Alligator mississippiensis: one gene and its partners. The protein of the gene in region 3 interacts with the protein of the main gene of each other region in a biochemical or structural test. Links are inferred from orthologs where the notes say so. Each region holds a gene or a part of one and is shown on either strand. Other genes may lie near its edges.

Evidence for each region.
Region 1: the proteins of PDGFRA (region 3) and PDGFC form a complex in vitro, tested with the Homo sapiens proteins (2 studies listed by BioGRID and IntAct, with this or other methods). The link is inferred for Alligator mississippiensis from reciprocal best matches to the Homo sapiens genes PDGFRA and PDGFC.
Region 2: the proteins of PDGFRA (region 3) and PDGFB form a complex in vitro, tested with the Homo sapiens proteins (3 studies listed by BioGRID). The link is inferred for Alligator mississippiensis from reciprocal best matches to the Homo sapiens genes PDGFRA and PDGFB.
Region 4: the proteins of PDGFRA (region 3) and PDGFA form a complex in vitro, tested with the Homo sapiens proteins (2 studies listed by BioGRID). The link is inferred for Alligator mississippiensis from reciprocal best matches to the Homo sapiens genes PDGFRA and PDGFA.

The regions. Positions count from the first base shown.
Region 1 is NC_081825.1:92,511,389-92,518,956, forward strand, and holds the start of PDGFC (platelet-derived growth factor C), read left to right. Parts: upstream 1-4,563; 5' UTR 4,564-4,991; coding exon 4,992-5,115; intron 5,116-7,568. UniProt on the Homo sapiens protein: Growth factor that plays an essential role in the regulation of embryonic development, cell proliferation, cell migration, survival and chemotaxis. Potent mitogen and chemoattractant for cells of mesenchymal origin.
Region 2 is NC_081827.1:99,161,657-99,169,240, forward strand, and holds the start of PDGFB (platelet-derived growth factor subunit B), read left to right. Parts: upstream 1-4,573; 5' UTR 4,574-5,415; coding exon 5,416-5,571; intron 5,572-7,584. UniProt on the Homo sapiens protein: Growth factor that plays an essential role in the regulation of embryonic development, cell proliferation, cell migration, survival and chemotaxis. Potent mitogen for cells of mesenchymal origin.
Region 3 is NC_081825.1:59,716,694-59,723,625, reverse strand, and holds the start of PDGFRA (platelet-derived growth factor receptor alpha), read right to left. Parts: upstream 3,005-6,932; 5' UTR 2,840-3,004; intron 1-2,839. UniProt on the Homo sapiens protein: Tyrosine-protein kinase that acts as a cell-surface receptor for PDGFA, PDGFB and PDGFC and plays an essential role in the regulation of embryonic development, cell proliferation, survival and chemotaxis.
Region 4 is NC_081836.1:49,243,073-49,250,510, reverse strand, and holds the start of PDGFA (platelet-derived growth factor subunit A), read left to right. Parts: upstream 1-4,429; 5' UTR 4,430-4,737; coding exon 4,738-4,800; intron 4,801-5,080; coding exon 5,081-5,177; intron 5,178-7,438.

The DNA of each region.
Region 1 (7,568 bases), about 33 Mb from region 3:
AGCACCCCTTGTTCGACTCAAGGTATCCCATGGAAAATGTCAGCTCTTAGTTTACTCTAGGTCTGTGACTACAGACAAATAATACAGCAATTCTGCTGCAAAGAACTCAGAAAGATCAGAACAAGTCGGAATGCTTTTGACTATGGATTCTTGTTTGAAAACTCTGGGTTTATCTTGTGAATCCTATTTGCACACCTAACACCTATTTGTACACCCTATGGCACCCTTGAATAAATCTTGTGGCACCCTGGTTGAGAATCACTGTATTAGATAAACATCAAGTCCCTGTAGGCCCCTGACAGATGTTCAGTTTAAGATGTGATGGAATGTAATCCTTGGTCCCAAGTTTAAAAATCCTGCTATGCCACACAGGCATGGCAGGACCGGTGATTTTGGGATGAGGGTTTTACTTACGGTTGCTTTACTTGCAGTTGCAGGTGGAGCCCAGGACAGTACATGACGTTTTGAGATGCCCTGGCCACATGTTCAATTTAAGGTAAAAACAAATGAGGCACAAAGGTATTCCACATATTCCATGAATAATTCCATTATGTGTGGAATACCTTTGTGGCTGACTTATTGCATTATCATGCCTTAAATTTATTGCATTATCACCAGGGCTTCTGGTTTCCTCAGTTTAAAAATCACAAATTCTCTTGATTAAAATCCTCAAATCCATGATTAAAATGCACCACCACTATATAGACAGGTATCAATTGAACACAATGCTTTACTGATATATTTACAATTTTTAAGCCATTTGAAAGCCTACCAGTGCCTCAATCACTATAATAAAATACATTCTAAGTATCTATAAATTTTGCTATTTGCTTCTGGGTTTTTTATCATGGAAAATCAGAGCTCCCCCTGCCCCTTTCACTCACTGAGATGCAGGTCAAGGCCACTTACTCCCAAGCCATAGCCCAACACCCCTGCCAGTGCCCCTCAATCCCCACCCACAGCCCCCTGGCCCTGCTGGTGCTCCTCAGTCCCTGCCCGCAGTCCCCCGTGCCCCCGAGCCCTGCTGGAGGGGGCCCCCAGCTGCCAGGGATATGGGGTCAGCCTCCAGTCTCCTGCAGCAGAACCCAAGCCTCAGTGGCTGCCTGCAAGAGGCAGTGGCTCCTGCAGCTTGAGCATAGAACAAAGCGTGGAGCCCAGCTCCCCATCCCCCATAGGAGGTATAGCTGAAGCAAAGCCTGTGGTGGGCGGATGCAGGCTGCCCACTGCAGGCTTGGGCTCCCTACTCTGCTGCCCTCCCCGTAAAGCCTCCACAGCCCAGTGGGCAGGACCCAGCACAGCAGCCCAGAGTGGGGACGGGAGGCTCAGTTCTTCCCATGAGAGCTCTGGGCCACCCTGGCAAGGCAACCCTGCCTGCCCAACAGCAATGAGGGGGCACAATCCCACACTACCACCCCCACTGCTGTTAGGTAGGCAGGGGCACCCCTCCAGGGCAGCATGGGGCTTCCAGTGGCAAGGAGCTTCCCCGCTTGGTCCCGTTCTGGTCCTGCCCACTGGGCTGTGGAGGCCCCAGTGGGGGGCAGAGGCGGGGGAGGACAGCAGGGCGGGGAGCCCAAGCCCATAGTGAGCAGCCCTCCCGTGTTCCTGCCCTGCAGATAAAACTGGGGAGCATGTGCTCCCTATGCCCCCCAGGAGTCAGCTGGGAGCCAGCCCTCCCACCCTCCGAATGAGCCTCCCACGTCTCCGTCCCACTCCCTGCCTAGACCCTGTGGCCACACATTCCAGTCCCAGGCCCCAAGCCACACAAACCGCCTGGACTGGGCAGCAGCCCTGCCCATCTCGCTTCCTCTGTATGAGGGCCTCAGTCTTCCCTTTCCCCCATACCAGATTTACCTGTGGAAGCTGCTCTCCAGGCTGTGTGCACATGGAGACCTATCTGACCGACCTCCTCTCATTCCTTCTGGCCCCTTGCAGGCTGGAACTCTGCCAGCCTGCATAGAGCTCTTTGCAGAAGTGCAAAATCTATGCATTTCTCTGTTAAAATGAAAATTCCATGTTTTTCTCCATCAAAAGAGAAAAGCTTCAGGTTTTTTTCTGTAGGAAATGGAAAACCTGGATCCCTGATTATCACACGTTGCTCAGGTGGCTGTATTAGTAGGTGCATTTAACCTGTTAAGGTTACCCTTAAATATGTTGGCCAGAGAATATGTTTTTGCTTACAGAGCCAACAAAATAGTTAATGATTCATGGTATAGGGATGTAAGTTATTAAACAACATTTCAACAGAAGATGCAGAAATAGTTATCAAAATCTTAATGAAACTAAGCAGAATCAATCTGTGAACATGAGTGACTCAATTTCTCATTTCAAGGTAGCTGAAACAGCAAGTACTGATGAAAGAGAACTAATCGGCAGGCAGAACATTTTTAAAACAAATTCTTCATATTTTATTTCCAAATATCAGGGGAATGCCTGAAATGAAGAGCTTAACTATGCATTTAATTTTCCAATTCAAAGCCAGTTCCTGTAAAAACAAATCAACACAGCACATATAAACATAAAGATAATATCACAGCAAACAAATAAACCCATGTCATTACTCTTTGGTTATTGAAACCAGAAATTGGCCTGAACCACAAAGATCCTGATAGGGCAACTGGATCCCTGTGGAGAAACCCTGGTGCTTTTGCCAGACTGCACTGAAGCCAACAGGGCTGTGAGGGAGCACGAGGAGCTGACAACATAGATCTGACTGCAGGATCAGGGCCAACGTCTGGATCTGTGGCTGCCTTCCTTAGGAGCTTGGATATGGAGCTTCAACCGGGCCCATTGTAAAAGTTGCTGCAAGTTTGAATTTAGAGCCTGGAACCTGCCTGAAGTTTGCCAGTGTTCACATTTGGGCCTCATCTCCCACTTGTTGGGTAGGAGCAGCTAGTGAGTTTTGTTACTGAGGTAGGGAGCAAAAATAAAACCTCCCTGATAATATAGAAACCTGAGGGCCTCTCTCCCTGTGCTAGTGCCTTAGACAAGAAGCCCTGAGTCATGCTGAATGCCTGTGGTGACCTGTTTACTGGGCCCTGTTTTGAAATAGCACCAAACCTTCAGTACATGACGCCAGGGTGCGAATTAAAGGGGAGCTGCGGGGGGGCGGGCCATAAGAGACAAGATTCTGCCTGTAAAATTTGAAAATCATAACCTGGGGGTGGGTCTCTAATCGGATTGCTCCTTCACTTAGGTGAACTTGTTAATCAATGAACTGGTTCAAATTTTTTTGCAGCTGCGCCAAGAATCAAAGTATCATTCAAACCCTGTGAGATGCTACAAAGCCGGTGCTGTCTGGGGGTGACAGCAACCTTGTTGCCCAGCCTCCCCATTTAGGTTCACCAAACTTCTGTTCTGTTCCAGATTTAAACCAGTTTGGCCTGGGATAGAAGTTTCATAAACTGGTTTGACCCCAATCAGTTAAGTCTGATACAACATTCCATTAGGTTTATCTTAAACCAGTTGCAGCCTTTTGAAACCGGTATTTGTGCACTGAGCTTCTATGCTGTTCCAGGTTCAAACCAGTTTCTGATCATTTTTTTAAAAATTATTTTGATTTTAAATTGTCCGTATTCCAAGCCAAATTAGCCAAAACAAATTCCAAATCCGAGAAGCAGTCCAGAAACATAAGTGGGCCTACTACCGGCAAACATTTTCCACCCCCATCTGAGGCTTCAGATGCTCTCAAATCCTTTGGCGGGCATCCTACGTGCAGGCCCAAGCCCAGAGGCTTGGGGTTCAGATGTCCCCAAGTTTTGCTTGCCCTTAGACATAAGGCCCCAGGAGCAAGCTAGGGTTAGCCATAAGGTTAGCCATACGGCCATAGCCATAAGGGTTAACCATAGGCTAGCCATAAGGCCCCAGGGGCAAGCTAGGGAGGAGTCTCTGTGTCACTTCTGTCCCTAGCTTTTGGGATCACTTAAACCAGTCCATGTGTCACTTCTGTCCCTAGCCCCCTTCCAAGTAGGGTGGCCATCACAGAGGCGAGTCGGGTTGTCCTCTGTCCTCTATTGATACGAAACCGAACACCTTTAGGTCCTCTTTTCTCTTGGACAGAAAAACAGAGGACCTAAAGGTGCTGGGTTTCGTATCCACAGAGGACAGAGCAGCAGAAAACCGGTCCCGCCTCGATGATGGCCACCCTACCTCCAAGCCAGCAGGGGTGAGAGGGAGGGAGGGTGGCAGCTGGGACGGGCAGGGTGCGACGGAGCTGGGGGGGTCCTAGCGGGGCAGGGCAGCGTCTCCCTGGAGCGGGGGGCAGAGATGCAGGGCCCTGCTGCTTGCTGTGCTATAGCACCTGTTGTGTCGCCAGTTGGCAGTCAAAGGCAGGGGGAGAGAGGGAGAGAGGCAAGAGGCCAGCGGCGGGAGCCCAGCCCTTTCCCCCTTTCCCATCTGCCGCCCGCGCGGCTCCCCCCGCGCCCCGGGCGCCCCGCCAGCAGCCCCCGGGGGGAGAGGCTGCAGCCAGGTGCCGCCCGCCCCCTGGAGGAAGGGGCTTGGCTTCTCCCCGCCCCCCGGCCTGGCTGGGCTCCGGCTCCCGCAGCTGACAGGTGCTCCTCGGAGTCCACGGCGGCTCCCTCCGCTCCGCCCTCCCACCCCCGCTGCCGCCGCCTTGGCCCCCGCGCGCGCCGGGCGCCCGCACCCGCCTCGCCTCGCCTCGCCTCGCCCGGCCCAGCCCCAGGCAGCGCCGCGCCGGGATTGTTTAGTTCTGGGGAAGCTGGTCGGGGTCCAGCGCTTGCTTTGATCCTTTCAGAGAGAGAGAGGGAGAGCGCGAGAGAGAGACCTGGAGGCGCGGAGACAAGGCTCTAGGAAAAAGTTTTTTGGATGGGATTATGCGGAAAGTACCCTGCCGTTCTCCGCTGCCCGAGCAGGCTCAGTGCTGCCTTCTCCCCCGCGGCGCAGCCCTCGGCCGGGGGTGGTGAGACAGCGGCGGGACCGGTCGCGGAGCTGCGAGTGCCCGGCGTGTGCGGTGCCGTCGCCCCCCCGGCAGCCCGATGCTGCTCTTCGGCGTCCTCCTGCTGACAGCTGCCCTGGCCGGGCCGGGCCCGCGGCGCGGGGCCCGAGCGGAGTCCAGCCTCAGCGCCAAGCTCCAGTTCGCCAGCGCCAAGGAGCACAACGGTGAGGCCCGGGGCAGAGAGAGACGCGGGCACGCACCCCCCACACGCCCGCACGGGCACCCGCGCGTGCACACCCGCATGGCCACCCCGCCCACACACACACACACACACACACACACACATGCGCGCGCGCATATACGCAGGTACCCCTGCGCAGACACACACGCACACACATGCAGACACATACACACCCTCATGTATACACAGGCTCCCGCGGGCAGACACACATGCAGACATATACACACGCATATACACAGGCACCCATGCACAGACACACATACACACACAGACCCACACACACATGCAGACACATACACACCATATATACACAGGCAGCCTTGGGCAGACACATGCACACACATGCACACACATATACACAGGCACCCATGCGCAGACACATACATACACACCTGCCCACACACACACACACACACACACACACACACACACACACACAAATGCACAGGCACCCACACACATGCAGACACATATACACAGGTACCCACATGCACTCATACACATACACACACATATATATACACACACACACAGACACCCACACACAGACAGACACCCCCCAACACAGATATCTATCTATCTATCTATCTATCTATCTATCTATCTATCTATCTGCATACACATACACAATCACATGCACACATGTACATATATACACACCCACACACAGACCCATACACACACATACATATATATACATACAGACACCCACACACAGGCATATACACACACACATACAAACACCCACATGCAGACACCCACACACAGATACACTCTCACACATATACACATACATATACATATACACACACAGACACATATGCACGTACACATGCACTATTCGTCTGCATGCAGTGGAGAGGAGAGTTGCAATTCACTTTGCAGCTTCCCAGGCAGGGCTGTCACTGAGCTTGGCTAATGTTATCCCAGCTGCAAAGTTGGTCCAATAAAAGCTAGCACCCTCACCCAGCCCTGGCCATGCTCTCAAGTGGAAGGGAAGCTTTAGCAAATATCCTTACAAATAGCATTGAAACTCACTACAAGGGGAAAGGGGCGGGGGGGAACTCTTCCTCGCCAGAGTGAGTCTTTAAGATCGAAGCCAAAATGAATGAGACTTGGCAGGTCTGACCCTGCTGTGTGTGTGTGTCACTCTAGGAAACTTGTCAGCCTGGTTAAGTGAAGCACTATAGGTAAAAGGGTACCCGTTAAAGAGCCAAAAGAGAGCAAAGAAAGACCTCCGTTCCCAGGCTGAGCTTTATTTTCTGGGTAGACTTTGAAATGTTTCTTCTTTTTGTTTTGTTGTGTTTTCTTTTTGTTTTTTAAACACACCTTGGTGCCCTCAGTCCTTAGGGCTCTGGGGGTAGGGCTTTTTTTTTTAGTGTGTGTTGGTGAATGAGCTCTATTTTGTATGGACTGGAAACGAGCTAATCCTGCCTAGGAAATGAGAATTACTTTCAGCTTTCAAGTGTACCTGAAATGTTTAGAAAACTCTCAAATGCAAGTTCCCTTGGGCTGGGATTGCGCGAAGCTGGAGAAAGGCTCCTTTCATGCAGCGAGGGCAGCTTCAGGGTGTGTAATTTGCTTAGCCTCTGAACTCCATATGATTTACATTATTCAGATTTTTTTTCAACGCCTTGTCTCTTGATCTGTGATTATGAAGTCATTTAAAGAATATTTTACCAGCAGAAATGTCCTGTGCCACATGAAACCACACTTAGTGCAGAATATCTAAAATGAGGTTATTAAGCACCCTCTTTTCCAGGGATGTATGCTAATGTAAGGGGGGAAAAATAGCAGCTTGCATGTCAGGTTAGAATGATGTTATTTCTTCCTAGACACAAACCAATGCAAAGACACAAGAAGAAAACTTCAAAAGTTTTGGTAGGTTCTAGATGACATACAGGCACCAACAACAACAATTTCAGGTTTAAAAACTGTCTCAATTCAACCCAAACTGTCAGGTTTGAACTTGGGATTCCCTTGGTATCTTTTGCAGTATGGTATCTTCTAATGCAAAGCAAATAAAGAAGTCAGAAGCTGTTTTCAGCCACTGTATGAATTAGTAGAATGTGTAGTGTGTTATCAAATTTAGCAGGGGAGATTAATATGCTGCTGCCTGCTAATGTGATGACATATGGCACCTGCAGACTGCCAGAGCTGCTGATCAAAGAGCAGCACAAGGATCAGTCTCTAATCAGAGTAACTGCAAAAGGCCAGGGGAAAGTGATCAAAAGAGTCAGAAACCCAGCTATTTTGACAGGAAACCAATCAGACTAACCTTTGTCCTCCCTGCAGGAAAATACCTACGGTGCAGGAGAACAGAAATCATTCCCACTCTCCCAGTGCATGTGGCTGTTAGAGGTTTTAGGACACCAAAGAATGACAAGCAAGACTTGGGACTAATAGTTTTATTGACATGGCACACATAAGGAGCAT
Region 2 (7,584 bases), on a different chromosome or scaffold from region 3:
TGAGGAAGCCTGGCAGTTCATCACAGGCACAGACTCCGTAAGCGGCATCCCTCTCTCTCTCTGCATGCTGTTGTTCTGTGAGGGTTTTATTTAATACCTGAGACCCCAGACACCCCTTCGTTCTCTTAGTTCCTGGAGTTCAGCACAGAGATAGAAGATGCAAATCCTGAACACCTTTTGTTCTGTCCTTCAGTAATGTATTTATAAATGACAATGCTCCCCACCCTGTCTCTGTCTCCTTCCTTCATTTTCTCTTCCCCTTTCCTCGTTTCTTTCTCCTTTAGACTAAATTCAGCCTTCAGGAAGTGGGTGCAACTCCCATGGAAGTCTCTGGGCCAAATTACATAAATAGCAGCGTAAATCACATATTTGGGACCTGATTCTAGGCTCACTTGTATTACGGTAAACCCGAAGCCAGCAGAGTTTAATGGGTATAACACTGATGTGAACTTGGACTTGGCCTCTGGCCTAAACTAATCATAAAACATTATTTGAGACCAAATTCATTCTTAGCTGTGGTTTGACTGAAGTCAGGGGAGTTACACCAGAGGCGAATCTGCCCATGTGCAATAGTAGTATATGACTACCTGCTGTTTCCGTCCTAGTGACTCTTAACAAACCAAACTTTGCTAAGGTATCTTGAACCTGAATTAGGCTGTTTGTGCCCTTTGTTCCCCACCCACCATGTTCCAGTTTTGCCAGTGTCCTCACCTGCACCATTGCTAATGAGTACTGCTCCCCTGCAACAGCCTCTGCTTTCCCAGGCTGTGCTCCTCAGACAACTCTACCAACGCACCAAAGGCCTGGTCCTGCAGTCTTTGCAGTCCCGCTCAGCTCTACTGGGGCACCCCCCATCCTGACTTTCAGGCTCTGCTAATACTGTTGTTATTCAGTGATTGATTCTACCATTCAGACTCAGTATTGCTCTTCTTTCTCAGCTGAATTTTGCTTTCATTCCTAAAAACTGCTTGAAAAAGTTATTAGTACTCCTACTTTGCACATGTGGGCTAGGTACAGACATTAAAAAAGCCCAAGGCAGAATCAATCTAAGGCATGCAGTTTTCTGCAAGCAGTGTAGTTTAGATCAGTAGTGACCAGGACACACATCTGCCCTTTGTGGTGGGGATGCAAATCTTAGATCAGGTTCTGCTATTTTTAAACCAGTCTACACATGGGCGACTGGTGCCTCCTGAGTCTGGGGGGGCAGCAGATCACTGACGGGGGCCCCCCCAGCAGCCAATCGCCAAGCCAGCAGCAAAACCAGAAGTGCACTTCTGGTTTTGCGGCTGGCACTTCCAGGGGGTGCACAGCCCATCTCAGGGGGTGCACATGCACCCATGTGCACCCCCTATGCACCGCCAATGAGTCTACGTGTGCTGAACTTCTGTTACCGGTTTCCGATCACTTATACCGGTAAACGTGTAATGTCTGCATCTGGCCTCGGTCTCTGGCTAGCGGAGGGGTTTTTTTTGGACAGTGTTTAAGTTGAAGGGTGAAAAGCCAAGTGATAGGGAATATAGATTGTCTGCAGACATTTATTCACCTGTTAACCCAGCTCCCAATAATAAGACAATGAATGCCATGAGGATAATATAATTATTCACTGGTTAAAGGCAGGGAAAAACTTTTCTAATCAATCCTTCATTATTAAGATTCCAAGCTAGGAAACCCCAAGGGGCTCCTATCCCTTCAGGTTTGTGGTCTGTGTAATGGGATCCCTTGAGCCATTCTGAGGCTATGACATTGCCTCATCAAGCCATGATGCTGTATGATGATGTTTTGGCTCGCTATCATTATAGCACAACCAAACCTCGTCCCTGCTGCCATACAATAAGCAATGACAGTGCAGCAGCAAAACACTGTGAGGTGATGATACAGCAAAATGACATTACTACAGACCTGAAGACCCCATTTCAGAGAGGCACTGAAAGAAAGGACACAGAACCAGCCATATGCATAGCTAGCTTAAGCTTAAGCATAAGCAGCTCTGTGGAGCTGAATAATATTGAGTTCAGTGGAGTGGTACCCATTTGCGTTGAATCTGAATTTGCTCTAATACTTTTAAAAGATTTTTTTCATAAGAGAGAAAAATCTCTTCCTGTTTCAAAAACAGAAAGAGTAAAGGAAAAGTGTCTGAAATCCTACTCACTCTAAATCCTGCTTTGCTCTTTCCAGCTGGGGTCATAGGTAGATGAGTAGTCAAGTTACAAACATCCTCTTCCTTGTCCACAGGCTTCAATGGGGACTAGCTATGTTTTTTTCTGAAGCTGAGCTTCTAAAAATTGCCCAGCATCATCCACATCAAAATAAATAACTGTATTTCCATCCAAGCACATACATAATTGAGCCGGAAATAGAAAAGCAGACTCTAACCTCATCCGGCATTTTCCACTGTCACCCAGCAAAACTGCAGGACCCTCTGCTACAATAGTTCTGATCCCCACTCACCTTGACTGATGCATCTCATTTCTGACCAGCTAAAATAACCCTCCCGTACATGTACTGCTCCAGTCCTAAGCAAATAAAGACTGCCAGCAGGGTTTATGGGCTAGGTCCCCAGCTGGGGTAATTCAGCCTAACTTGGTTGATGTCAGTGGAGCTAGTTTAGCATAGTTGCAGATCTGACTCTATATGGACATGTTGTGATGATGGTTGATGTGGTGTGGCCCAGGCTAAGATGGATCGTGCCCAAAGAATGAAGGAATCAGAAATGCCAAGTGTCTCTGTGTATGTGAGGATGTGTAACTAAAGCAATTGGAGGGATTAAGGGGAAGGTTCTTCAAGATCTGTGACAGTTTGGGGAGGTGGAAATACATGGGAGACTAACATCAAATAACTGCTTCCCAACGCTTCTGTTCAGCAGTTAGAACAGAATCTGCCATCTCAGTTTTGGGGGTGGAGGAGGTGGTTCTTAAACCAATGTCAAGCCTTTTCCCTCCTCCTCCATGCCTGGGGATGGTTCCCCAGTGGTTGTAACTGCATAGCTCTGCTGACTTTAAACCAGAGAGAGACTGGCTTCTTGATTCAGAATTAAAGCAGCAAAAGCACCTCCCTTCGTCTAGCCTGCCTATGTGACTGTCAGATTTTCTGTGAGTTGCATTTTTATCTGCTGCAGGGAGCAGAGGAGGTGGTTGGGTGATTATTAGAGAGGTGAGCACTGTAGAAATGAGCCTGGTTCTGTTTTTATGTACCCCAGTGTAGCATGAAGGGGATCCAAATCAGGCCCATTGGGTACAAAAAAGCTAAGCTGGGAGGTGTTGTGATGACCACTGAGTCATACTGCATAAGGGTCATACTGGGCTGGCTGCTGCTTGGAGAGAAGATCCCAGGACACATCAGGAATTGCATTCTAATTCAGTGAATTGAGTTTTAACAATTACAGTTATGTGCATACCATCACTGAAGAAAGCAGGGGCGGTGCCTGTGAGCTTTCACTGCACCACCAGGGTCCTGCTCTCTGCTATGTGAAGTGCCTGCACATCCCTTGGGTATTAAAACTGAAATAATGTTTCTGCTGGAGAAATTCCAGCAGAAACAGGCACTTGGCTCAAAACAGGTGCATCTCTGATTTTGTGTCAGAGAGAAAAGAGCATGGGGTAGTGTGGGCAGGTCTGTGGGTGATGGACTGTGTATAGCATATGGAAACATATGAGGGTTGTATGAGAAGAGGTGACCGTGTATGTCAGTGACAAAACATAGGTGTCTGTGGTTATATGAGTGCAATGAGTTTGCTTATCATTGTGGAGGTGTGTGATCTTTGCATCAGATTAGGTTAATTGAAGGAAAGAGCAAACTTGTGTATATGAAGGCAAGTCAGTATCTATGGTTATATGCACAGGAGAGTGCATGGGGGTGTGTGTGTGTGAAGTGCAAAAAACACCCTATGACTGTGCATGATGTGTCTGTTGTCAACAGCATGTTGTTATGTGCATGAAGAGAACACCTCTGTGGACATGAGAAGGCATGTGCAGGTACATTCTCTGGTAAGAGATGACTCTGTCTTGAGCTCACCTGTTAGCTAGTCCTCCTACTTGACCCCCTTTTTCTCAGCAAATATCTGCTTGCTTCATTTCCCCTTGGATGTTTATGACATTGGGGAGATAACTGTGTGGCAAAATACATTTTAGTGCCTGGAGCAACACAAATTCTGTTCTAACAACTCCTGAATGTTTCTTTTTGTGCATGTAAAGAGATCAAAGGTATTACAACCATATCTCCCTCCAGAGAAAGCAGGGTGGGGAAAATCACAAGTTAAGCTTAAAAAAGTGCTCAGGCAGCAGTGAAAGTCTTAGTCATGGGCCAAACATGACTTTGCTGGAATACCTCTCTCCTTATTTCTCACCCCACCAATCCTGAAGGATTTTCTCTCTCCATTTCTTATTTGATATTAATTCTGTCTCTACATTCACATTCCCTGTGTTTCTTACTGAGGGTCTTTTTCATTTCGGTGAGTTCTGAATTGACTCACTAGAATATTTTTTTTTCTTGCTCTTTGATACACAGCCAAGAGAGGAGTTGCTAACAGTCTCCACCCCTTCTCTTTCTTCTCCTTTAAAAGAAGGAACAGCTGAAAGGGTGGCACCTTATTCTCTCTCTCTCTCTTGCAGACTAAAATAAAGACCCACCAGCTCTTTCCCGGCAGCTCACTCTCCTCCCATTTGATTTTACCTTTTTTTTCTTGTTGCAACAGGGAGCAAGAGACAGCAGCAGCAGTCACTCAGAGCTTGAGACTTATCGAGACTCAACACACACCCAGAGTCCAGCAAAAACATTTGCTCACCTGTTTGCAAAACCAAACCAGAGCTCACATTCAACCAAACTGCCAACAATATTTTGAAAGAAAAGGCACCAAAGACCAGAAGTTCAAACTTAGACAGAAAAAACAATCAACAACAGCATTTCTTTAAAAATAAATATACCAGAAGAAGAAAAAGATTATAGGGAAAAAAGTACAAATTTAGGAAGAAGACTTTGTTACCTGATTTTGTATAAAACTTTGGAAAAGTTTTCTGTTGGGAGAGGAACTAGTGAATTTGTTTTTGATATTTGGAAAATATGGCAAATAATTTTTACCTTCTTGTTTAAGACTTTTTTTTTTTTTTTAAAGAAAAAGGAAATTGAGAAGGAAAAAGCAAGCTGGTGGACCACCTGAGAAAAAGAAATGCAGAAAGATTTCTTTCACTAAGAGGGGATACAGACTGGATGCATACATTTTTGGGGGTCTGCATTCATTTTTTATTTATGCTCTGCTCCTATACTCCTTCTGGTTTATGAGACAGAAAAAAGGACAGACAACTCATACAGAATTATTTTTTTTAGAGGAAAAAGGGGGGTTTCTTTTTAACCCTTTCCTCCCCACTTCAAGATTGTGGAAAATAACTCGGAGTGTAGAAATGAGAGTGTGCAGAGCCTTCTATGCATGAGGCAAGGCTGGAACTAGATTGTCAGCGGAGACTGATTTCTTGTCAAGTCTCCCCTTCAATGTGTCTGGAACTCTTGGGGATAGGAGTAGGTATGAATTTCGGGGTGCTCTTCGTGTGTCTCTGGTACCTGCCTCTCATCAGCACTGAGGTGAGTAAAGACCCGTTTTCTTTTACGAGGGAGACAAATCCATATCTTGTAAACTTTAGACCCAGCATTAAGACTACAGAGAGGAGAGAGAAGGAGAACTCCTTTTAGCTTGTTTCTCTGACAGGTTTCAGTGTGTCTCTGAACACTTGTGCGTTTATGGTTATTTTAATTAACTTCTCTTAGCTTTTAGGAGGCAAGCAAACAAATAAGGGGGAATTCATATTTTGAATAAGCAACACCCTGACAGGTAAAGGGCAATGGGAGGGGGTGGAAGAACTGTGTTGACTCCAGGGTATATTCCCCATCCCCACCCATTGTGGACAAGTGGGGCAGTTGCGGCTTTTCAATCTCTCTGGCATTTATGAGTTTTGCTCTTTAAACTAAATGAACCTGAGTCAGATTGTTTTTCTCTGCAGTGCTTCACCACTGCCCCTTGCCCTTGTAGCTAATGAATTGCCACCTTGAGGCTTAGGGCTACCTGCTTGTACCTTCCCACAGTATCTCCTCCCACCACACCCCAACCAAAAAAATGCAATCCAAGGGAATCTCAGGGTGTATCTGTGCATGCAAGTAGCAGGGAGAAGAATCGCAGAGCCTGGGTTTTGCCAGAATTAAAGCAAGGCTGAACCTATCTGGTAGTTTAAGAGGGGACCTCAACAACCTGTTGCGTGGAGGGAGGGGTACTGAAGGCTGAATGAAAGGAGCCTGCAGTATGTCTTGGGAGCTGCTGGAGATGGAGTGAATGGAAGAGCTCTGGTAGCTCAAGATTGATGGTTTTCCCCATGATGGGAGGTCAGGCTGAATGGAAGCTGGGAGCTCCAGGAGTCCTTGCAGTGCAATGCCAGCCCTGGCTGCAGCAGTGTGCTCTCCAGCTGGTCTGGGCCATGAGCTGCAGCAACCTCCTCATATCAGTTCTGAACAAATGCCCAAGAGGGAAGCAGAAGGGAAGATTGCAGGGATTTGCAGAGACTGGAGAGAGATTTTTTTTTTTTTTGAAGGTGGGGTTCTTAAAGGGCCAAAGTCCTTTCTTTTGCTTTCCTAGTTCTATTTTTTTCCAAGAGGTTTGTGTATATAACCTTGCCCTGCATACCTGTGGGAGCTGGACTCTGATCTCACTTGTACCAGTTTTACCCCAGTCTAACTCAGTTGGGACAGACCCTTAACTCTATCTCATAGGAGCAGGGGAAGGGGGCCATCTTCATTCATTTTAACAGCACTAAGTTGACTTACATGAGCTGAGGGTCTGGCTTATTGCCTGTGGTGGAGTTAGTTCTGTCCAGTGTCAGTATAAGAGGGAAATCAGACCATGTGCATGTCACTGTGTGGGTGGCTCGTGTGTGTTTGTGCTGTGCGAGAAAGACAGCACCTCCGAAGGGGCAGGACGAAGGGAGAAAGGTGGGAGAAAGGCAGCAGGGTGGCTGGAAATGTATAGCTGCAGGGGAGGATCATTAGAAAGGGTCTGTAGGAATCAAGCCGGATCTGTGGTGCCCTTTCCTTCATTCGGGTGAGCTGGCAGCAGCAAAGCATTTCAGTCTGGGAGAGGCAGGGAAAGGAGGAGGAGCAGGGCTGGAGGAGGACTGCCATTCTGTTCCCAGCATTTATTTCCCAGACAACTCAGAACAAGATCCATCTGAGTACAGACACACGCAGCATGCTAAAGTACAACCCTCCTAGTATATCAAAGAGGGTAGAGGCAGAGTGGCAAAGGGTGAGAGCTAGGAGGGAGTTAATCTAGAGGTGAGCCTGGCAGAGAGGGAAAGCTGGGAGCTGGGCTGCAGCCAACACAGGTTGTTTTGACCAGGAACCTGTGGAAAGAATTCTTCTTTTGTTCTCCCTGCTCTTATGAGTTATCCTGCAGATTTCACTGCCCTGCCAGTGGAGGGACACCCCCTGTTCCCTCCACTCCAGTGCCTCACCTACCTAGGAGGAAGGGCTGGCACACTTCGGGCCCCACCCTTTCAACAGCTGCAATCTCTCTCCTTGCAGCCAAGCCAAAATAAAACCAAGGGAGAG
Region 3 (6,932 bases):
GTTTGGGTTGCTAAATCCTAAATTTTTGTGTAGTTGTAATTTTTCTTAAAACTGTTTCCAAGTTTTGGAGAAAAATTCTCTTTGTTGAAGCCATTGTTTGTCTGGGGGCATGTCCAACATGCAGAGCAAGGAAACTCGTTGGAAAAGAATTTTCTGCTTCTAGATCAGATTTTGTTAGGTCTGTGTTGTGTCAGGGCTGACGGTCTTCTTAAGTAGTTTAGATTATGGAGGGTATAGGGTGGTTGGGATAGCGATGATCCGGCCTGAGGCAGGGGGGTTGCACTAGGTGACCTCTGGAGGGCCCTTCCAGCCCTAATGCTCTATGATTTTATGATCATTTTGAAAAACCCTATCATTGGGATTCAGACAAAATATGAACCTTGCAGGCTTTGATTTCTGACCTCCTGTCTGGTCAGGCTCTGTGCTTCTTCCCACTGGCTTGGTAGGAAACTCTGAGGGAATCTTCTTCTCCGGGATTCAGCACTGGTGCCCCGGGGGAGCTGTGCTGGCAGATGCTGTGGCAGGCTCGAAGCCCTAAGACTGGTTGCATATGCATGAGTTGGGACAAGAGCCACAGGCTTGATTCCTCGTCATCACTACGGCGCAGTGCTCCCGTCAGCTCCACTGAAATGAAGCCGGGGCCAGGTTCAGCCTCACCGCAGCAAGGGCACAGGATCCGGCCCGCGAGGAGCGAGCCGCGTGGGGCGAGCCCGGCAGAGCCCGCGGCGCAGCCGCCGAATGAAACCAGCTGCAGGCTCCGGGGAGCGGCTGGCGGCTCCCTCCTGCGGCGGCCAGGGGGCAGCACAGCCCGCGCTCCGGCCGGCCCGAGGGAGACTCCGCCGCTGCCTTGCCCTTGGGAAACCGCTGTCTGGCACCCGGCAGCCTCTCCTCTCCTCTCCTCTCCGCCCCGCCACATCACACGGGCAGCAGCCGCCTCGGCAGCTCTGCCCCCCGCCTGCCCTCGGGAGCCGCCTCAGCCGAGAGCCTGCTCCAGCCACCTCCAGCCCCTCGGCCTGCACCAGGGAGCCTGACTTTGCTCTTAGGACCCCCTGGGAAACGCACAGCCCGGGGGGGTGGCTCAGCCTCCCACCGCGGAGACAACCAGATGCGGGATCCCTTCGCTCACGGATCCTTCCGGGGGGTCCTTCTTTGAGATGAGATGACCCCCTGGGCGGGATCCGGGCGCTGGGCAGCGAGGTCACAAGTCAGGGGCCAAATAGTTTCTTCCCCGCCCAGAGCCACTCGCACATGTGGACCGGACCGGACCGGATCTGGGGGAGGAAATGGGACGAAACCAGCGGGGTCTCTCGATGTTGAATGGGGTGCGGCCGAAATCACGCAGAAAGCTTAGGCAGCTTAAAGAAAGAGCAGCGCCGGCCGTGAATGGGAAGCACCCGAGGGGCTGCTCTCCACCCTGGTCTGCCTGCAACAAGGACCCGAAGTGAGCAGCTGGGAGGTGGGGGTCTGCCCCGGGACGGCTCAGCTCGGGAAGGCACGGGCATGGGGGCTCCTCCACCTCTGGATGTTACGAAGCCGGGCAGCTGGGAGGGGGAGGAGGGTGTTGACATTCACCCCTTCAAAGCCCCTGTCCTGGGTTTTTGAATGTCTCCAGAGCACGGACTGGCCCTTGGGAAGTGAAGCCCTGGCAGGCGCTGGTGTCCCGAAGCGGGGAAAGCGTGGGGGGATGATCCGAGAGGGGGGGGGGGGGGGGCGTCCAGCAGCAATAGCAACATCCAGCCTCGGAGTTGTTTTCCTAGGAAACAATAGGGGAGCCCTTGCCAAATTGAAGCAACATTTTTTTATGCGGGTTAGCCAGAAAAAGAAAAGAAAGAAGGAGAGGAGAGGAGAGGAGAGGAGAGGAGAGGAGGACCCGCTATTATTTCCTCCCTGGGGACTGAAATGCTGTCCAGGCTCGGATTGCCCTCTTCCCCGGGCAGGGCTCGGCTGCCCCACGGAGCAGAGGGCAGGGGTCCGCCTCGTCTGTGCCCTGGGGGGAGCCCGGGCGGGGCCGGGGGGAGCGGGAAGGATCCCTCGGGGCGACGGCGCGGCCGGGAGCCGAGCGAGTGCCCGGAGCCGCCCGTGGCCGCCCCCGCCCCGGGGACGTGGCTCTGCCCGCTGGGCGCCGCGGCTGCTGCCCGCGCTGGCCGGGCGGGGACGAGCCCCAAGGGATCCCGGGCCGGCGGGAGGAGCCGCGCCGCGGGGGCCGGGGTCTGGCGCTGCCGGAGCCCCCCGGGGCTGAGCAACGCCGCCGCAACCCCAGGAGCCATTTCCTCGCTCTCCCCGGACCCTGCCGAGGGGTCCTGACCGCATCCGCGCCGACGCCGGCCCGGGAGGGACGAGGCTGCGGGGCCCCCGGAGCTGTGGGGGCAGGTCTGAGGGGCCGCCGTACCCAGAGATCGGGACCATTTGGTCCTGCTGCGGAGGGCACCGGGAGTAGCAGCCAGGCTATGCCCCGCGGTCGCTTGTCCCGGCCCCCCGAGCCCGACCCAGCTCCCCGGGAGCCGCGACGTGTGTCCGCCAGTCTCTGCCGCTCCACCGCGGCCGCCCGCAGCGCGGGGCAATCCCCGTCCCTGCGCAGATCCCCGCTCCCGCCCCGGTCTCCATCCTGCCGCCCGCCCCCTCCCAGCAGCTCCCCGGGAGCTGAGATGTGCCCTCGCCGCCTCCCCGGCGCTCCCAGGTGAGCCGCCCCAGGGACTGCACAACCGCTGGCTCTGTCCCCCACACCCCCCGCGACTTGATGGCCTGCATCGGAAGGGACTGCTGTGCTTCGCCTCCCCCTGCTCCCAAGCGGCCCCTGGAGAAGGCGAGGCGATGGGGGACCGTCCCACCCAGCCCGTACCTGCTCCTGGCTCCGCGGACCCGCGCCGCCAGCCCTACGCGCGGAGTCCCAAATCCTTCCACGTCCTTGGTGGCTTCTCCTCCTCCCCCTAGATCCGACTGGGACGGGCTCAGAAACCGCGCCTCGTCATTGATCCAGCGCTCGAGTCCATCCTTCCAAAACTAATCATTTGCTTTAAGTAAATAGCTGTCAGGAAACGAAGCCCCCCCTCCCCTCCCCTCCGGCCCCTTCAGAATAAGAGCCGCCCTCCCGCGCCCCGCGCCTGCGGCCCCGCCGCCTGCAGCCTGCGTGCGGGGGGGGGGCTCTTGTGCAAGCAGGGGAGCCACTCGCCGCCTGCAGACTCCACCAGCCCCGGACTGGGCCGGGGGGGCAAAGGGGGGGGAGTTTAGCCATATGGCAAGGGAGCGTGTATGGGGGGGGAGGGGGCGAGGAGAGCTGTGCACTGCAGGGAGGGGGAAACAAAGTTTCTTTAAAGCCCCAAGTGTTCCCCGTGTCATGAACGAGCTCTCCTCCTCGGCCACGCACTCGGGGAAGGTGTGCCAGATGCCCGGACGTGTGTCCATCCTCCCCATGTAAGTCTCGGGATGAAAAGCTGAGCTGGAAATGAATGTCACGCCGTCTTTTCGACCCGACTGGGCTCAGGGCTCAGCGCACAAAGCCGCATGGCAGCGTCTTAGCCAGAAGCAGCAGGCACTGAGCCGCAGCCGAGTGAGCAATAGTTATGAATGAAAGAAACCGCGAAAGGTAACGCTAGGGAAAAAAACCCAACAACAACAACAACAAAAAGCCCGCTGCTTTCCGACAACCGGGAGGCTTGGGATGGTCTCGGCACGAGATCGGGGAACCCTGTCTAGACGACGTCTCCACAATTTTGAATTGATCTTGTGAATCCGGCTTTCTGGACAGGGCTTTGATCACCCGGCGGGAGATAAAAGTATCTCTGCCTTGCTGATTGTTGCTGCGTGCTGGAGACAGGGAGGGGTGGTGAGCGCCGAGGGGTATCTGTGCTGGGGGAGTGAGACGGGCTCTTTTCCGTGCGGTGTCTTTGCAGCGGTCGTGGGAGAGGGGGCACTGCAGCCTCAGGAAAGGAGGCTGAGACGCGTCCGACTGGCCCCTCTCGGGACGCGTAGGGCACCGGGCCGGACGCGCCTGGGCGCTGGGAAGGGGGTTCTCGAAGAAGAGGAGGTTACAGTGGTTCCCCCTCTTCTTGTCTGCATCCTCTGCCTGCTTTCCCCTTCCCCCGCGTAGTGCCTGCGTGCATCCCCCTTCCCTTCCTTTCTAAGCAAAACTTTGTTCTCAAAGTCAAGCAGCAGGCTCCAGAGGCTCCATCTCTCCCAGACTAAGGAGAATTAGTCTCTGAAGCGAAAATGCCCCCGAAGGGAAATGAGGAAGGCTGTGAAAGGCAGGCAGCGAAAGCATGGGCCAGCCGAGTCCCCGTGGCTGGGCTGGCAGGGTCCCCCCTGCCTGGGCTCAGTTGATCACATTGCCTGCAGCCTTCTGCAGCCTTAATACATCTTCAGCTTGAGTGAGTGCACAACCTCACTATTGCTTCCACATGTTCCTTCAGGAAATCATTGGAAGCAGATATATGAACAGCCCCTTGTTCGGAATGCTAACAGGATACCGTAATGCTTGTAAATAAATAACAGGCTCCCATGGATTGGAAGTAAGGGTAAGGGGCAGTGGAGGGTACACTCATCTTGCAATTTTTTACCTGACAGGTAAATAAATACATAAGTTTGATCGTTTAAAGTGGTGGTGACGAGAGAGAGAATGAGGAGACAAGGCTCTCAGGAAATCGAAAGGTGCTTTAAGATGTTTGAAATGCAAATGGACTTCAAATTTTGAAACAAAGTTAGGGTATCAGTCAGGGGCTGCCAGGAGCTAGCGTGGAGTGGGTTTGCAGGCTGGCTTCACTTTCGTTGCCTTGATTTGTGCACGGATAGGCCGAGTGACGCTGTAAAGGGACCTTTGATGGAGTACTTTCGTGATCAGATGTGACGGGAGACCCATTCTAGGACAAACAAAAAAAATGAAGCAGAAGAGGAAAAAAAAAACAAAAAAGAAAACAAAAAAAAGCTCCTTCTGGTTGTAATTACCTGCCTAATTTGAATAATGCCTTTGTCATGATCATTAACAAACAATCGCTAAAGGCTTCCATGTGGGAGATCAGATCACAGGGCTGAACAACAAAGCGAACCTCCTTGGAGTGCAGGTCTGGGGAGGTGTAGGTTGTAGCCGTGTTGGTCTGGGGAGGTGGCTGCCTCGCAGGCCTCCATCCCCGGCGGGACGCACGCTCCGGGCATGGTCCCCAGCCCCGGGCCGGGACAGCAGCAGGGCTGCCCTCGTCTCGGCTGACCGGGCCCGGCGCGAACATGCTTGGGGAGCGGGAGCAATTGTTAATCACTCGACCTTTCCTGCCTCTGCTCCTGGCCCAGCGCAGGGATTGGTACCTGAAAAGTGATGACATTAGCAGCCCTTTATCTCCAGTCCCGAGTCACCTCATTAATTAACCGGGGGAGCTGTCTCCAGGCCCCTCTGTGTCAATCACCCTGCAGGGCTTCGCCGGGGGGGAGAGCCAGGAGCCCTCTCCATGCTGTTGTTGTAAGATCCGACGAGATTATTGCACGGAGAGAGGAGCAACGCTGTCCTGTGTGGTCCCGCGCTTGGAAACAGGGCGAGAAATCTCCGCGTTTACAAGGCTGCGTGTTTATTTTTGTACCTCCCGAGGTATCTGCCGGGCAGAGAGCAAAGGGAGATGCACACCAGATGTGCCTTCGGGTGGAGAGCCCCGCTCTCCCCAGTTCCCAGCACAGCTGACTCTTGGCCATTTGCTGGGAGAGAGACCCCACTGTGCTCACGTCCCAGCCCCCTCCAGCCTCCTCCTTCCTGAGTTCAGAAACAGGCTTTGCAAACGGATCCTGTCGCGGTGCTGGCGGTGGAGAAGGTGGCACTCCATACCACTGTCACATGCCAGCACCCCGGGGGTGGCCCGTGTGCGGGGGTCTGGCTTGGGGGAAGGGGTTGGAGGGGGGGCGGGGGGAACCTGGTGGGCTAAGAAGCCCTGCCTTACACGGCACCCCACATCTGGATAGTTTTACCACTTTTCTTCCAGAAAAGCTTGGTGGTTGTGGCTTTGCCAGAGCCAGCAGCTCTTAAGGATGATGTCTTAAAACAAACAGCTCTCTCCTAAGCTAGATGCTTCAGCAAGATGTATTCCTGTGTGCGCTGTTTCCCAGATGGCTTCCGTGACCAGTTGTCTTCTCCCAACCCCAGCGAAGGGCAGCTAGGCAAGGCAGGAGGCACCTGAGCTGCTTGTGTTTGCGTGGGACAAACCCGAGTGCCTGGGCTCTGGGTGCAAAAGCAAGCACTTCAGTGGGATGGTTTAGGAACATCTGGGAAGGGGGTGGGGCTGGGCAACCCTTGAGGTCCCTGCCAACCCTGAGACTGTATGTGACAGTGGGGCCAAGCGGGTCTCTTCTATCCCAAGCTGTTACAGGGCTCCCTTTTCAGGCTCTTCCAGAACAGGCAGCCTGAAGCATACGGCGCTGTGCTGGGGGGAGGGAGGGCTGTTTATGTGGCACGCAGATGCGAGCTCCACATCTCCAACCAGTCCCAGCTGAAACAAGACAGAGCCTGGTGTTGACACCTCAGCCCTTCCCCGCGCGCTGACTGCAAGGCCCAGCTGGGAGGGAGGCTCCAGGGCTGCTGTGGGGAGCGGGCCTGGCTCCCTGGGGAGAAGGGGGGAGCTCTGCTGGGAGGAACCGCGCTTCCGCCTCTCTGGGGCTGCTCATTACAGTCTGCAACGCGCGGCTGTTTATTGGGCCGGGCCGGGAGCCTCAACCTGCCCCCCTCGCCCCTGCAGCGCTATTGGCCTCGGGAGAAGAAACAATTTGCTGGAAGTAATGACCCCTTTCCTGCCTCTCCCGAGGGTGCGATGGACTCGGGTTAAGTAGCTGAGGACACAAGGCGGGCGAAGAGTCCGTTCCTTCGGGCTTCTCCAGATGCCGTCGCAGGGAGGGAGCCTTTGTCTTGCTTGGCGGAGGCCTGCTTTTAATTATGGCAACCCCTGCTCAGGCATTTGCAGCACACA
Region 4 (7,438 bases), on a different chromosome or scaffold from region 3:
CATTGTTCCACAGAGGAGGAGAGAAGGGAGCAGCTTAATATACCACTAAAATAGCGTTCTCTCCTGGTATGCAAGTGCCTTGGTTTAATGCCTAAACATGGTATCTCACTGTCCAGGTTGGCAGCACTGCCAGTTCATACGCTCTGTCCTGAAGGTGAACTTTGTGTCACCCTGTAGTGCCTCCTCTCAGTCAGTTTAGAAATAGTGAAGGGCAAACACCCCTCATTTCAGGCTGTCTTGCTGAACCCAGTGTGTAAGGGCAGTTTAGAGGGAAAATGAAGGAAAACATTGCTAAGAATGCCTTAAGTCTTTCTGCAGGGTGGAAATGTTGATCTATTATTAATTCCCTTGCCCCCGCCCCCAGATTCTGTGCAAGGAGGGTGTGATGTTGTACATATTGAAGTCTAGGCCAAAACTCCCCCTGATTTTAATGGGAACAGGACTGGGCTCTCAACACTCATCCCAGTCCATTGGAAAAGACAGCAATCTGTCTCCATAAAGGCTCTGCCTTAAAGAGCAAGCAGGAACAGGTTTTCCAGGACTGCTGCTCTATTTGCTCATTGCATGGGTTACTGGAGAGGGCAAGGGACTGCTTTCGGATCACTGTACCTACCCAAAGCATTTTAATTGATTTGTGTCTATGATTGTTCTAGGTACCAGTTTCCTAGGAACGTACCTGGAGAGCTGCGCAAAACGTTATGAAGAGAACAGAGCTTAGTTCAGACTGAATGAGCCAAAAAAAAAAAAAAAATCCAAAAGGAAGGGCTGAGAGCGGAAGAATAACTATTTCCAGACATAATAATTGATTTTTTGTCCACATCTGAGTTCACAAATAGGGTGTGCTTGTACCTTTATCTGACTGCAGATACCAGTCGGGTAGTTAACAGAGCAAAATGATAAGCTGATCCCCACCTGCAATTCATTTCTGCAGGCCAAAATCTACAGGTGCTGATTTGGAAGATACAAGCTATGAACGCATAGGTAGGGAAATGAACAAGTACGGGCCAAAGAAGTGTGTGTTAAAGGGAAGAAGTCCAACCTTGAAGAAGCAGATGAGCTTCTTTTAAAATGTACTCCTTGTTTAGAGTCACTGGCCGATGAGACTTCCTAGATTTTATTTTTCAGATTCTCTCACCATGTCATTAATATTGTAGACTGAAAGACATGAGAAGCCAGTCCCTGAACGTGCTTTTTGCAGTTGATTTCTGGAACTACCATGCTTTCTGCTGTAAGGGCATTTGCATCTGCTATGTACCAACCACCTTTGGTAGGATCAAGGGCCCGGGAAAGCAAACAGGCCAGTCACAAAAAGGAAACACCTGGGAATCCTGTTTGGATTCATTGTAATGTGATTAGGGAAGAAGCCAATCCCCAACTGAAATCAACCACCCGGCAAAGTTCTGCAGGATCCCGTTTCATGCTAACAGCATTACAAACGTGTAGACTTGCACTGGACACTTAACAGTCATTTGTTAATGCTTGCCAGGGACTCAGAAATGCCAGCGTAGAAATCAGATTACGAGAACAGTGGCTGGCAATTGGAGGGACCATGTAAAACTGGCCTGGTTCCCTCCCCTGACTCCAGGGCTTCATTTGCACTTGTTTTTCTCTTCTCTTGCTAACTTTTTCTGACCCCAGCGATGCTTTCCTTCACACTCCTTCTACCCACTGCAGCTTTTCCTGCTGCCCCCTCAGGCCCTTGAGACTACTTCCTTTCCAGCAACCTTCCCAGCTGCTTGCCCTCCCTCACTATGTTAGGGCACACTCTTTTGAAACATGAGTTGGTTCCATTATACTGCCTGACCTAACCTTGTTTATGCCAACTGAGCCGGAGCAGATCTAAAAGGATGCTTGCAAATGGTGCTGGACTGGAAAGGTGCTAATTTGGGCCACTGTAGGCCTAGGACTTCATGTACAGGTCCTTTGGAAAACGATGCTGTTATCTAAGGATGATTTCACTTTATTATTTGTACTGAGCCCAGGCACGAACCAGGACTTCATTGACCAAGGTGTTTATACACACTCTGAAGATGATCTTTATCCCCAAATAGAATCCATAACTCTGATGTTTTCTTAAGTACATACAGCAGCTTTTTAATTGCCTAGACAAAAATGTGTTCTCCTTAATTCACCAGTCTTGTCATTCTCCCTCATCTTTTCAACTAAAAGATTAAACTTAAAATATTTAAACTTCTTCACCATCCCTCCCTTTGTATAAGTGGATATAGGTATTACATAAAAAGCCAGTGTTTCGCATACTTGTATACGAAACTTGTATACTGCACGGAAGATACCAGGCAGACGCACTATCCCATTTATTGGACTTGCATGGCATTCTTCATATGAAAGAATCCTGGTGTGCTTGTAGAAGTTTTTTCTCTATGCAACAAAAAGATCTTATAGGGAAGGCTTTCCAAATACAACATTTGTTTTGCAAGGAGGGAAACAAATGATCAAAGAGAACAAAGCTATAGGCAGGAGTTTAGTGTGAATTTAATTCAGTCGCTCTGATCTTTGGACTCTTACATAGTTTGCCTCATTATCAAATATTTTGCAAGGAATGATATAAACAGTCTCCTGTTAAAGACTGCTCCAAGTGTAATGTGATCCAGAGGAGAGATGCCCAGCTGATGGCAGCAATGATAGATGTAAAAAACATGCCGATGCAGTCTATTCCTCCTAGAATGAAGTAGAGGCAAAACCAAGCAAAGGTTTCCTCTTAAGAGATAGCAGCGAAAATGATCCTGAATGTTGGTTTGATTAGAGGTCTCTCCTTGAAGGAGTTACCACTGAGTAGCCAGCCAAGTCTACTTCTAGATAAACATGAGCCAATGAACCAATGAGTGGGAGGAATAATTGCTCAATGAGATTTGTATTGTCAGGAACAGCATAACCTTCTTAGAGGCATCTTTGTTTTTTATTATCATTGCTATGGCAACCTTGACCAGAGGTGCCTTTTGGGTTTAACCCCAGAGACTGATTAGAACAGGTCAGCCGGTTTCAAACTGAAGTCACCACTTCCTTGCTTGTGTGATATCTCCCTTCCCTCCCTGGCCCTCCAAGAGGGGATGGTAACCACCCACCTCTCCCCGGCCAGGGGTGCCCTAGCTGCGTGCTCAGCAGCTGGCACCCGGCTCCCTTCTCACGCAAGACCTTTGGAGGTGGGGGCACCCTGGCCGGAGGGCTGCCACTCCAATTTCTTCAAAGCCCCAGTCGTTTCAGCTCCTTCCCCCTCTTCCTCAAGACCACCCTGCAAGCCTGCGTGACATGATGAGAGAGCAGTAAACTGCACTTGAAAGCCCAGCTCTGCGTTTCGGTGGGAAACTTCTCTGCAATTGCAAAGCGCCCATTAAAGCGCAGGTTGTTTCCTCGAAGCATGCCCAAGCCGGGAGCTTGTAAAGCCCTTCGGGGCTTCTAGCAAGCCTTCCCTTTTGAAATGCTGGGTTGGGGGGAGGCTCGGAGATGAAAGGCTAAGTCTCCCTGGCTGTGCATTTACAGGCTATTGTCTTCCCCGCAGGATAGTTATCCCTCCTCACTTGTGTTATTGCAGTTAATCCACTTAAATGCCCCTGGATTTGCAGATGAGCTGGATTCTTTGCTCCCGCGATTAAGGCGCTTTGTCTGGAGGAGAAAAGGCTGCCGCTGTCCGAGTGACAACGAGTGCCGGGCGAGGGCAGGGGCTCGCGGGCACCTCGTGCCCATCCGCAGCGCAGCGCGGGGCGGGGCGGGGCGGGGCGGGGGTCTCGCCTGCCCGGCCCGGAGGGCGAGGCGCTCAGCGGGCAGCAGCCGGGAGCGTCGCTCACTCGGGCACCGGTTGTGTAAGCCGCAGCCCTGGCCGGCCGCTCCGGGGAAGCCAGCGCCGAGTCCCGGGGAGCCCGGGCTCATGTGCCAGGCGCACCCCGGGACATCGCAATCGCCCTTGTGCGCAATCCCCCGCACCCCCAACTTGTTGGAAAGCAGGAAAAAAAACTCTGCCCCCCTTTCCCTGCCGCAGCCCTCGCCCGAGACGCCCCTTGGACTGCAATCTGCATGCACACGGACATGCACGGGGTGCATATGTGTCCCCCCAGCGCCAGCCAGCCAGGACTCGCCCAAATCATGGCGATGCCCGGTGCCTTCCCGGCGAGGCAAGGTGGATGCCTTCAGGTTGCAGCCTGATCTGCGCAGAAGCTCCCACCCCCTCGCCCTCCCTCGCCCGTGCCGCAGAGGTGCCGGCCCGCCGGCTGCAATCAGATCCCCGCTCCCCCGAGCCCAGCCCGGCTGGCGCGGGGCGGTGCAGGGTCCCCCCGCCCCGGCGCTGCCGCAGGAAGAAGCCAGCCCCCCGCGACGTGTTGTTTGCGGCGGTCCGCGGAGCGCCCGGCCGCGGAGGGGGAGGGAGGGAGGCAGCCAGCGAGGGAGTGCCGGAGGGAGGCGCAGGGGGAGGCGCCGCTATATTCCCCTCCTCGGGATTATTTCCCACTCCACTCCGGAGCAACCCCCCCCAGCCCGGTGCACGGTGGAGACGCAGCCGCCTGGCTCCGACCCCCCCTGGAAGGAGGCAGGAAGGGGGCATCCATCTCCCCGCCGGCAGGAGCGCGGGTGGCTTTGCAGCGCGGGGGCCGCGCAGGTGATGGGCTCCCGCCGGGCGCCGCCCGCATGCGGCGGGACTAGTCCGCACTAGGGACCGTACAAACGCATCCCGCCCGGGCGCCGAGGGATGGTGCTGAGCCCCGCCGCGGCTGGAGCCGCCGCCGCGCGATGAGGACCTGGGCTGGCGCCTTGCTGCTAGGGTTTGCCTACCTGGCCTTTGCCTTCTCGGAGGTACGTGCTGCCGAGGAGGGAGGGAGGAAGGGGGGGAGATGCAAGGGATTTTTCTTTTTCTTTATTTATTATGTATTTGGGGGGTGGGGGGTGAGCAACCAGCCCGCGGTTGCTCGGGGGCGCAGGCTGCAGGAGGCAGCCGGCGTGCAGCGCCGAGCGCCCCGGAGCCCGGCCGGGAGGCGCAGGGCTCGCAGCCGTGCTGCTGGCCCCGGGGAGGAGGGAGCGGGGGCTCCGCAGGTGCTGGCCCGGGACCGTGATTGGGTGTCTGGTCTGTTTGAAGGAGGCTGAGATCCCCCAGGAGCTCATCGAGAGGCTGGCGCACAGCGAGATCCACAGCATCCGCGACTTGCAGCGCCTCCTGGAGATTGATTCCGTAGGTAAATTATTCTCTTTCCTTCCTTCCTTGCCTGGTATGCCGCTGCTGGCACCTGGGGCCGCGCCGATCAGCACGTGTCCGCCGGGTCTGAACCCTCCAGTCGCCCTTTCCTACCAGACGGATCTAGCGCAGGGCTCGGGATCCAGAGCAGGGACCCGCAGGTGTGCCCCCCTCCAGCCAAACCAGGGCTGGGAGAGATGCAGACCAAGGGCAGCAATTCCTCAGTTACCTCCAGACAAGAATCCACTCCCAGGTCAGGCTCAGGAGTCAGACAAGCAGATGGTGAAAGAAACTCTTTGAGTTTTAACTCCCTGACCTTTATAGCTCCAGACCTCTTAATTTCTCAGCAAAGAAGAATTTCCCGAACCTTTCTTGTTGTTCTTCTCCGGCTTGGCTCTCTATAAACTACTGTCCTAGAGGCATTTGAGATATTTGAAACAATGTTTATGAATGAAGTCATGTCTTTTTCAAGACCTGGGGTTTATTAAAAGGAAAATAAACTGTCCATTCTGATCTTAACCAGGACCCTTCCTCGGGTGCTTACCCTTGACAAATACCGCCCTTATTCAAAGGAAAATAGCACAAGGTTATTTTCTGCCTGGTTAAGCATGCAAAGCAATGGAGGGAGAATGTGCGGTTCACCAGTGCTCTACCCCCTGGTATAAAGATCTCAGCATCATGGCAGCATTGAATGGGTGTCATTAAGGTTGGGTTGTTGCCCTTTGCTTTTGGTGGTTCCTTCTGTTAGTTTGTGGAAGAAGGAAACAGCATCTTTGGTAGAGCCGTGTCTTTTGTGAGAAAAATCAAGGAGTCTTGCTCACAGCGGTATGGGGCATCTCCTTTAAAAAAAAAAATCTTATGCTATGCATTTTTTTCTCTGAAATATGTGCTGTTTAAATCATTATCATTCAGTGCTACCAGGTCTTGATTGACTCGCTTGCCTTCTTGTTAGGTGAAGTATTAGTGAACAGAAATGTATGGGAAACATAGCTTACTGATAGAGCTCTTAATTTTTATGTAATTATGTTGTAACTGGTGTCTCATTACAGTGAAAATTAAAATGCTCCTGTCTTTCAGGGTACTTTGCCATAAAGGCTCATTACTAATTACTAGCTTGATATGCATTGGGTTGATACTTTTAGAAACAGAAGTTGGGATTAAGGAAGCTTTCAGGCAGGGACAAAACCCTGAATTGAATGTGCGTAATGCATATTAGCCTGCTCTAAACTGCAGTCTGTACCGTGCACGTGCACCAGGGCCCAAGAAATTTGTATGTTGGCTGCTGGAGAAATAAGGGCGGGTGAATTTTCCCTATTCTCTATTTCCGGTATCTTTGAGGCAGTATTTTGTACCTCCCAGAATATAGTATGTCCGGATACTTCAGCATAACAAACAAGTGCTTCATTTTTAAATACCACTTACGACGAAAGCAAAAGTTCACACGGTTCCGTGTCTAGAGGCAAACTGACAAGCAATGGTGTGCCAGTTGAATAAATTAGAGAAGGTGGCAGATCAGAGAAGATTACTGTAGGAAACGAACTGAATTTTGTTCATGCTTGCTGTTCGCCACTAGGTAAATAATTATTTCATTCTGGCCCTTTACTGCAACGCACTGGTTCAGCAAGTGGCAGAGAAGCAGGAAACAAATGTCCTTTAAAAGCTGAATGTGAAAAATTATTGTTTTATAGAATTAAAAATAAAATGGAAAGGTCCAGTCTTGCCATGTTCCTCCTGCGATTAGTCCTTGCAAAGCCCTCTTCTAAGTAGTAGTTCCAATATTGATCCCTACTGGGAACATAGTCAATGGCTATCTCAGTTTATGCTTAAATATATCAGTCTGGCAAGCTTTACTTTCATAAGTAATCCTTACTCCCCTGACTTCTTATTGCCATAAAAATACAATCAATTAAAAAACTGGATTCAGCTAGTCTCCTTTGGCAATAAAGGCTTGGGCCTGTTTAGAGCATTGTAAGATTAGCTTGAGCTAGAGGAAAAAAAGTCAGATATCTGATAGCTAGTGCTGCAAAGAAAATATTTTGGAAAGCGGAGGATTGCCTTTCTTGCAGTATAACGCATCTGTTAGGTAACAACTGCAGTTTTAACGGATTTGTACAAGACAGTTTCCATTTTTTTGTTGTTTTTACTACTACTCGTTGTAGTGCATGTTCGTGCCAGTGCTTTCCTGAGTGAGTAGGGCTCGTAAACTCAGGGGGGGAACTCAAGTACCGTGGATTACTCTTCCGAGCAAGAGTTTGTAGGATC